Linked DNA regions of Caenorhabditis elegans. The protein of the gene in region 2 purifies or fractionates together with the protein of the main gene of each other region. This does not show direct contact. Each region holds a gene or a part of one and is shown on either strand. Other genes may lie near its edges. The genes, in order: mrps-28 and flp-18.

Evidence for each region.
Region 1: the proteins of flp-18 (region 2) and mrps-28 fractionate together in Caenorhabditis elegans (co-fractionation; one large-scale study listed by BioGRID). This does not show direct contact.

What each region holds. Positions count from the first base shown.
Region 1 is NC_003283.11:19,642,043-19,646,193, reverse strand, and holds mrps-28 (Mitochondrial Ribosomal Protein, Small), read right to left. Parts: upstream 1,956-4,151; coding exon 1,824-1,955; intron 1,774-1,823; coding exon 1,607-1,773; intron 861-1,606; coding exon 641-860; 3' UTR 518-640; downstream 1-517. Other genes in the region: Y43F8C.9 (MS Related Protein), read right to left, coding at 1-77; Y43F8C.7 (ER membrane protein complex subunit 10), read left to right, coding at 2,165-2,258, 2,319-2,424, 2,503-2,590, 4,057-4,151.
Region 2 is NC_003284.9:3,011,494-3,016,076, reverse strand, and holds flp-18 (SVPGVLRF-amide 3), read left to right. Parts: upstream 1-1,790; 5' UTR 1,791-1,798; coding exon 1,799-1,874; intron 1,875-2,916; coding exon 2,917-3,009; intron 3,010-3,058; coding exon 3,059-3,208; intron 3,209-3,256; coding exon 3,257-3,310; intron 3,311-3,356; coding exon 3,357-3,519; intron 3,520-3,569; coding exon 3,570-3,660; 3' UTR 3,661-3,663; intron 3,664-3,712; 3' UTR 3,713-3,887; downstream 3,888-4,583. UniProt on the Caenorhabditis elegans protein: FMRFamide-like neuropeptides. Ligand to G-protein coupled receptor npr-1. Involved in modulating locomotion quiescence during the sleep-like state called lethargus which occurs during molting between larval and adult stages, acting via npr-1.

The DNA.
Region 1 (4,151 bases), on a different chromosome or scaffold from region 2:
ATTGCAGTCGGTGGTTTCTCCTGTGCAGCTGTACAAAGAACAACGAGAAGGAAGACGAAAATGTGCACCAGGATCATTGTTGAAGTTTAGAAAACTCGAACTGATTGAAACTGGAGAGTTGGATGATATTTATATAATATTCCACGATATGGGCCACGTTTTGGAATTTTAATATATTTGAGAATTTGAAATTGAAACTATTTTTGAAAATTTCACGTCGGAAAATAATTTTTTCTATTTTTCTGTAAATCAATTAATTTCTATGTTCAATGAACAAAAATGTAGAAATCGAACGTAAAAATTTGAAGTTCGCGCTTGAAAAAGCGCGCTCTACAGAAAATCATACAAGTTTTAACTGCAAACGCGCCCCAATGATTACTTTTTGGGATATTCGAATTTCCTTTCACCTGAAATTTGCGAAAAGTCAGTTCTAGGCGGGAAATTCAAATTTTCAGTCAATTTTTGGCGGGAAATTCAAAAATTCAAATTTCCAGTCATTTTTTGGCGGGAAATTCAATATTATCCATATTTTATTGAAAAAACAACAAAAAACAGGCAACAATTAATGGGGGATTTCTAGGCTAAAATTGATAAAAAAAAGTACACGTGGAAAGTGAAAATGTGAAATTTTCTAGAAAAATTAGTGTGCCGCCGGTGTTTCTGGAGCCGCTGGAGCTTCTTCTTCCGTGGCGCCACGTGGCTTCTGCCGTTGCTGCTGCTGACGTGGCACATTTGATAGAAGACGTACGAGCACTGCGTCAGCCTCAAGAAGTGTCAAATCGTGTTTGGAGCCCAAAAATCGTTCGCTGAGCTCCGGGTCGATGAGACGAATGAGCACACGGGCTCCGCTGCGGTAGGCTCTGGAAGAAATAGATTTTTTTGGAGAAATTTGAGGAAATTTGAGGATATTTTTGTGGGAAATCGGGGTTTTTTGGGTGAAAATCGGGGTGTTTTGGGTGAAAATCGGGGTGTTTTGGGTGAAAATCGGGGTTTTTTGGGTGAAAATCGGGGTTTTTTGGATGAAAATCGGAGTTTTTTGGATGAAAATAGGAGTTTTTTGGGTAAAATTTGACGGTTTTTGGGTAAAAATCGGGGTTTTTTGGGTAAAAATGGTTTTTTGAAAGAAAAATCGATATTTTCATAAAAATTTAGTTAATTTAGCGAAAAATCGCCTGTTTTCCATGGAAATCAAGGGTTTTCCCATAAATTATCAATCATTTTTCAAGAAAATTTGGTTTTTCGCTGAGAAAATCGGGATTTTCCTTGAAAATTTGGATTTATTTTGATTTTTCCTGGAAAACGTGGATTTTTCGCGAAAATTAGGAGTTTCTGGCAAAAAAACGGGGCTTTTCTCGTGAAATTTACGGTTTTTGGTGAATTTTGGAGAAAAATGGGTTTTTTTCCCGTTATTTCCGGAGAAAATCGCTTATTCTCCGTAAAATTCAGGTTTCTTTTGATTTTTTTCCGGAAAAATAGACTTTTTCACCGAAATTCGAGCGTTTTCCGGGGAAATTAGCGTTTTTTGAGCTAAATTTGACGTTTTTCACTCTAAATTCCAATTTTTCTTGGCAAAAATCGCAATTTCTCGGCAATTTCCATCACGTACTCCGAATTCAGCGCCGGAACTTTGCAAACAGCGTTGAATTTCAGTCCAAAATCAATGTAGACGTCTTCTTGAACGCGTTGAGCGATTTTTCCGACGACGAGGCGCCCGTTAAAGTCGCCGAGTTGCATGAATTTCGAGTTTCGCAGCAGAGAGGCGAACGATTGGTTCTGAAAATCGAAAAATTCGCGGTTTTTAACCCCAAAAATCGTGTAAAAACCTGCGCTTCCGAGGTTTCAGTGACAGTGTCGACGAAATCAATGATACTCTCGTTTCCCTGGCTTGTGGAGAGAGCTCGGAGCTCTCGGAGCCCGCAAATCACCTGTCGAGACTTGAGCAAGCTTCGGAGCATCTGAAAAATACAGTAAATCAATTTTTTCGGTGAAATTTGCAGTTTATTAAGGGAAAATCCCTCATAAACGAGTAACTGTCGTATAATTAAATGCCTGGTCCGCAACGGTGTTTGCGTACTTGTCGACCGTACCCCTCTCATCGCATTTTCCATTATTTGAAAAAAATCGATAATTTAACTCAAATTTTCTCAATTTTCGCAATTTCAGAATGATTTTCAAGCCGATTTCGCTCATAATTGCGTTAATTTTGCCAATTTTCACACTTGCCGAGTGGAAAATCACGCTGGAATATAGTTTGAACGGTTTGTAGTTGGAAATTTGATTTTTTCGGATTTTTAACTAAATTTTCTCTCGTTTTTCAGAATTCACAAATAGCTATCCACTTGGAAGCATTGAAATGAGCCGCGCATTCGACGGAAACTACACGGGAACCTTCAAACCGGCTCAGGAGCAAAATTTCGGGCAAAAGTATGGGGATTTTCCGGTTTTCTTCGCTTTTTTAGCCGATTTTTTGTGTGAAAAATGCGAAAAATAGCATAATTTCAGGCTTTTCGAAGCTCAAAATGGCGTTTATTCGGTTCGAGCACGGTCGAGCACACAACCCGGACAGAATTTCCTGACGACTAGCGATCCGGTCGGTTTTTCGACTTTTTCGGCGAAAAAATCGAGAATTTCGGTGGAATTGGAGTGAAAATGCAATTTAAAACTGAAAAATTGAGTAAAATTGGTGTAAATTTCGTGAAAAACTATGGTTTTTCGATTTTCCCGTGGAATTTTGACTGGAAAACAAAAAAAAAATCGCAATTTTTCCCGAAAAATTCGAATTTTCAGTCATTTTTCCGCGGGAAAATTAAAATTTTCACAGTTTTCCAATGCTAAATCAACGAAAAAACCGGATTTTTCCGATTAGAAAACCCTTAAAATCCGCAAAAATTCGACCCCTCGGCCACCGCAGCCATGTCTACGCCCTCCCTCACCTCGTACAAGTTGCTACCCGTGGCTTAGTGGCTAACGCGCTCGCCTGCCGCCCACAGCTTCCGGGTTCGATTCCCACCCACGGCAACAAATTCCAATTGTGTGTAACATTCAATGCAATTGAGCCGACGCCGTGGGAAATCACTTTCGTGGAACCATTTGATCCCACGCTCGTTACTGTTAATGATTGTGGTTTGCACGTGGTTTACAATTTTTCGCACTTTTTTTAAAGGTTTTTACGGGATTTTTGTTTGAATTTTTAACCAGAAAAATTCAAAAATTGGCTAAAAAACTTCTGACAAAATGACAAAATGAACACATTTTTAGTCAATTTTCGGCGGGAAATTTAAAAATTCAAATTTTCAGTCAATTTTCCACCGAAAAATTCAATTTTTTCACGGAAAATGCCAAATTTTCACTCAAAATTGTGGAAAACATGATATTTTTCGTGAAAAAATCATATTATTCCAGAATTTTTGGCGTAAAAATGCAAAAAATCAAAAAAAAAAATTTGCAAAAAAAATTTTTTGTTTAAAATTTCAAACTTTTAAACGAAAATTGTGACTTATGTGTGCAATTTGGCAGTTCCCCCGAATTGCCGAATCGCACCCATTTGTCACCGGAGATGCGGAAGCTATGCCCAAATTTTCCATTTTTTAGCATTTTCCTCATGTTGTCGTCTTGTGTAAAAATTGTTGAAAAACAATGTTTTTGTTAAAAAAATGGAGCCTTTTCTATTAAAAATTTCAAAAAAAAATTTTTTTTTTGGACTAAAAAAAATTCTCAAAAATTTTTTTTTTTTTTGATATTTCGAAAAATTTCATCCAACGTTTTTCCAACCAATCCAAAAAATTGTGACTCATGTGTGCAATTGGTAGATTGGTGGCTCAAAATCTAGAAATCCGTAGGTTTTGTTCCCCCGAATTGCCGAATCGCACACATTTGTCACCGGAGATGCGGAAGCTATGCCCAAATTTTCATTTTTTGGCATTTTCCTCATTTTTTCTGAGTAAAAATTGGTAAAAGACAATGTTTTTGTTAAAAATGGAGCTTTTTCTATTTTTTTTTGGACTAAAAAAAATTTTTTTTTTTGGACAAAAAAATTAAATTTTTTAATTTTTGCAGTGCCTCTTTCTCCACTCCAACCTATTCCACGTCTTCTGGCTGTCAATTTCTCAAGAAAAACAGCAACTTCACACGCTGACAATTTTCCCGGATAC
Region 2 (4,583 bases):
TTTTTTTAAAAAAATTCCGGACTGTTTTTTGATTTTGATGTTTTTAATGAATTTTTAAAATTCTTTATTAGTGCCTGAAATTAACAATAATTTTAAAGTTTGTCACACTGCGAATAAATTAATCTCACATTTCGTATGTTTAGAAAGATGCATGAAACTCCGTCGTTCTTATGAAGTTAATTAAGACATGGCTAATTGAAAGCCCACATGGTCATGAAAAAGTAAAACTTACAACTTTTTACTGAATATTAACCAGTCTCTATAAATATCCCAGCTTAGCCGGAATAGGGTCACGAAAACATGAAAATAAAGCTTGAACCTATTGTTATGATTTTCAATGCCACCTTTTGCAGTTTAATATACACTATTACTACTTCTCAGTTCAAGTTCACTTCTGAGACGGAACCTTTATTTTCTAACTTTCTTTAATCTTACTTTTTATGAGCCGAATGTTCTATTTTGTAAAATGATCAGATACAAGCCCAAAGCTAATTTTGCCAATAAGTGTTAGTAGATCAATTGAATTACAATATAATGACCTGGGCGGAATAGATTTTTGCACTGATTTTTTTCCAAGCTTACTCTATGAATATTCATAGATCATCTTCAAAGGTAGCGTGTGTTGTAGTTGTGTTTTGGCGGGTTCGTGTTATTTGACTCAGCTCAAGTAGATGTTGTAGTCTTCCCTCAATCAACGCGTGGGCTTGACCCTCTTTAAATTGAGTGGAAACCAGCCAATCTATTTGAAATCTACCCCCGAAATGAGATTCGACGATGACACGACGTGTGTGTTACGTGCGCTGAGAATTTAGGAAAAAAAAGATAATCTTCTTTTCGTTAGCTGCGCCACAACCTGTGCAGATAAACTCCGCACAATTGAAGTTCTTACTGGTCCCACCCGATTTATTCAATTGTATTGTGTCTTTTTTTCTTATTTCTCTACAACTCTAACTTTCTTCAACTATTCTCTACATCAGTGCTTTTTTCCACCATGAAAAAAGAAATGACGTCGTTGTTTCTTAGGAGGGGCGGAGCCTCAACTCAATGGTCCGTTCGAATAGATCCCACCCCTCATATAAATAGGACTGAAACCAAAGAAGTTTTTAAATTTTCAGCTTACCGTGTTTCTCAATTTTCAAAATAGTCTTTTTTGTGTCTGAACGGGCTGATCAATTATGTTTTTTTTTGAATGAAAAATCTTCCTCCCAAGCCTTAAAATTCCTTCCAAAGATCGAAAGTTATGTCTATTCAAGTTACTTCTTCTTAGATCAAATATTAAACAAAAAAATACGCCATCATTCTCTCACATTTAGTAATTCAAAATTTCGATTTGTTTTCGAACTTTTGAATTTCCCGCCTAGGAAGTGACATGAGTGAAATCTCATTAGATAAATGTGCCACTCACCGATGACACTATTTTCAAATAAGGGGGGGGGGTGTTTCGAATACCTTGTACACGCGTTTCCGCAAAACCACACACCCCGAGTTCCTCAGCTTCTTCCCCTCGACCCATGAGCCACGTCAAGATGTCAGCGTGTCACTTTTCATTGCTTCACCTTCTACGGTAACGAGAAAAGGCGGGGAATCCAGGATCTGGTGTGACTTCTTCCTTCTTCGTATCTTCCTAAAAATGTTCGTTTACTTTTTAGCGAGTGTCATTTGATGGGATGTCGTTCTTGAGGAAAGAGGCTAGAAGCTTAATACTCTCATATTTCATATTATTGGCATCAAGACGTTTATTATTTAACTACAATAACGATTGCTTTAACAACTAAAAATAATAATTTCAGGGTTAGACATGCAACGGTGGTCGGGCGTTCTTCTCATTTCGCTGTGTTGTTTGCTTCGTGGGGCGCTCGCATATACCGAACCAAGTAAGTTCTTGATGAACGAAACAAAGAAAAGTCTTGGCTGATCCAATCTCTTAATTGGGTTTGAAGGGAGTTTGGATAGCCCCAGATCAGCGTGGAAGATTGAATAAAATGACGGCAATAATTTGTCTTAATGTAATCTTGAATTTTATTTTAAAATTTTTAACTTTGTAGTTTGTCGAAACGTTGGTTTCGCGTACATTAGTTTTTTTTCAAAATTCTGGACCTGACGTAGTTAGCTGAAATAATTTTGCGCGGTGTTCAAACATCGCATCCGTATTGAAACTTCATTAGTTTTTATAAGCTTCTGTGATATTCATTTTCCAGTGAGACCTATGAATAATCTTCGCTGCTTCCCACGGTCCGTGAATCTCTAGACTTGGTGTTATTGTCTTATTGAAAAGTGTTTCCACTGACCTTCAAACTTTCTATAATCTAGAGTGGCCCAATGTATTTTTGGAAGGAAAAACGCTTGGATGAAAACAAGATGTAGCGGGAAAAAAAGGGGGCGCCTATGGATATTGTGGAAAGATAGTGTTGAGTTGGATGCTGAGTTTTTTATTCTTTCTTGTCGGGGCCCGTTGGGACATGTTTCGTTCGATGGTGCTCTGTACCCATCTAGACCAACGCGGGAAGCCAAGTAAAATGACGCTGTCGTTCTGCCAAAGTGATGTATTTCGACGATTTCAATCAACAAGAAACGTGTTTTTTTTCGTTTCTTTTTTCAACAGGGGTGCACAATTGAATTGTGTCGATTTGAAAGCATGAATTTGAAATTTTTGAAAATTCTCGTAAGGTCGATCGAAACACATACATAACTGCAATTAGGAGGAATTTGGACGCTTAGCGTCCGATAGGGGCGCAAACTTTTTTTTCCAAGGGGTAGTTTTTCACGGCGTCCGATAACTTCCGAGTTTGACCACTCACTATACATAATCATATAATTTTATAATGAGTGGCTCAACTCGGAAATTGTCGGACGCCGGACGTCCGATATGGCAGCCCTAAATACAAGACGGCACATTGAAACAACTTATATTTTCAGTCTATGAAATCGTCGAAGAAGACATACCAGCAGAGGATATCGAAGTGACTCGGACCAACGAGAAACAAGACGGTCGGGTATTCTCAAAAAGAGGTACAAAATTCTTCGTACAACTAACCATCAATTTTTTGTCTAATTTCAGACTTTGATGGGGCGATGCCAGGTGTGTTGCGCTTTGGAAAACGTGGAGGTGTTTGGGAAAAAAGAGAAAGCAGTGTGCAGAAAAAAGAAATGCCGGGAGTGCTCCGTTTCGGTAAACGTGCATATTTTGACGAGAAGAAAAGTGTTCCAGGTAAGTAGTTCCTTGTTGGTTTATTGCATACTGAAAATTGACTTTCAGGAGTTCTTCGCTTCGGGAAACGCTCATATTTCGATGAGAAGAAAAGTGTTCCAGGTGGCATCATCATCTATTCTAAATCAAATAACATCTCAGTTTTTAGGCGTTCTTCGTTTCGGAAAACGTGATGTGCCAATGGACAAACGGGAGATCCCAGGAGTGTTGAGATTCGGAAAGAGAGATTACATGGCTGATTCGTTCGACAAGCGCAGTGAAGTGCCCGGAGTTCTCCGTTTCGGAAAACGCGATGTTCCCGGTGTATTGAGGTCCGATCATTTTAAGACTTCATCCAGCTTACCAAGGTTTTTGTTTTCAGATTTGGAAAGCGATCCGACTTGGAAGAGCATTACGCAGGGGTTTTGCTCAAGAAAAGTGTGCCAGGTGTTCTCCGATTCGGACGGAAGTAAATTGTAAGTTTCTAAATAAGATTTTGCCAGTCTGACATGTATCAAGTTTCAGATGAATGTGAATGTAAAATGTGCCAGCGACAATTCGATGATCTCGTTGTTTTTCTTCTTTTCTTCCGAGCGTCTCATTTCAATCACTTAATATTAAGTTTTTGTCTCTTTTCAACAATGATACTAAACGTTGTCAATTCTAGAGCTCCATACGATTAAATGAATCATTTCCTGTTACGTCAAACACAGTTCGTCTAATTTTTGAGTAATGTAGTTGTGTGTCTATCAATTGTTTTCTGAACAATGTTGAAAAGCAGATTTGTTCATGGTTGACGTGTGTTGAAAAGAATAATTACCTCCAACTCTGTGCATTTTAGGAATTGATTCATTGAGCTTTCAAACGATGAAAAAGTATGCTTTGTGTTATGTCAGTTATCAGATTAGATAAGTCTAAACAGAACCCAGTGTGAAATGAGTCTATTCATGAAGCTGCTGAAAATTTGAAGCATGTGTATCAAAATGATTCCAAAAAATTTGAAACGCAGAAAAGTTTTTTGAATTATCAAATAACCAACTTCATGTGCACAGGTAATTTCCGTCCTTAATTCTCTTTCAAGTTTCAGATTTGATTAATTGAATCTGGGATCATGAAGATTTTTTCAAACTGCTTTTCCCAATACACTGATGAATCTAGTACTGTACAATTTTTCTTTCATTTCAGAGAGAGCATCAATATTAAAATTAATTGTAAGCAAGTCAACAAAGTCAACAAGTTTTCTACTTAATTATGGCTTCACTTTTCACTACGTTCATTAACAATAATTTTAAGTACCGTATGTTTCGGAGTGGTATCCAACCCATGAGGTACTGATAGGACTAACAAAAAATTCTTAATCAATTAACTTATTAGGGGTGATTAAAGGAAAAAACCT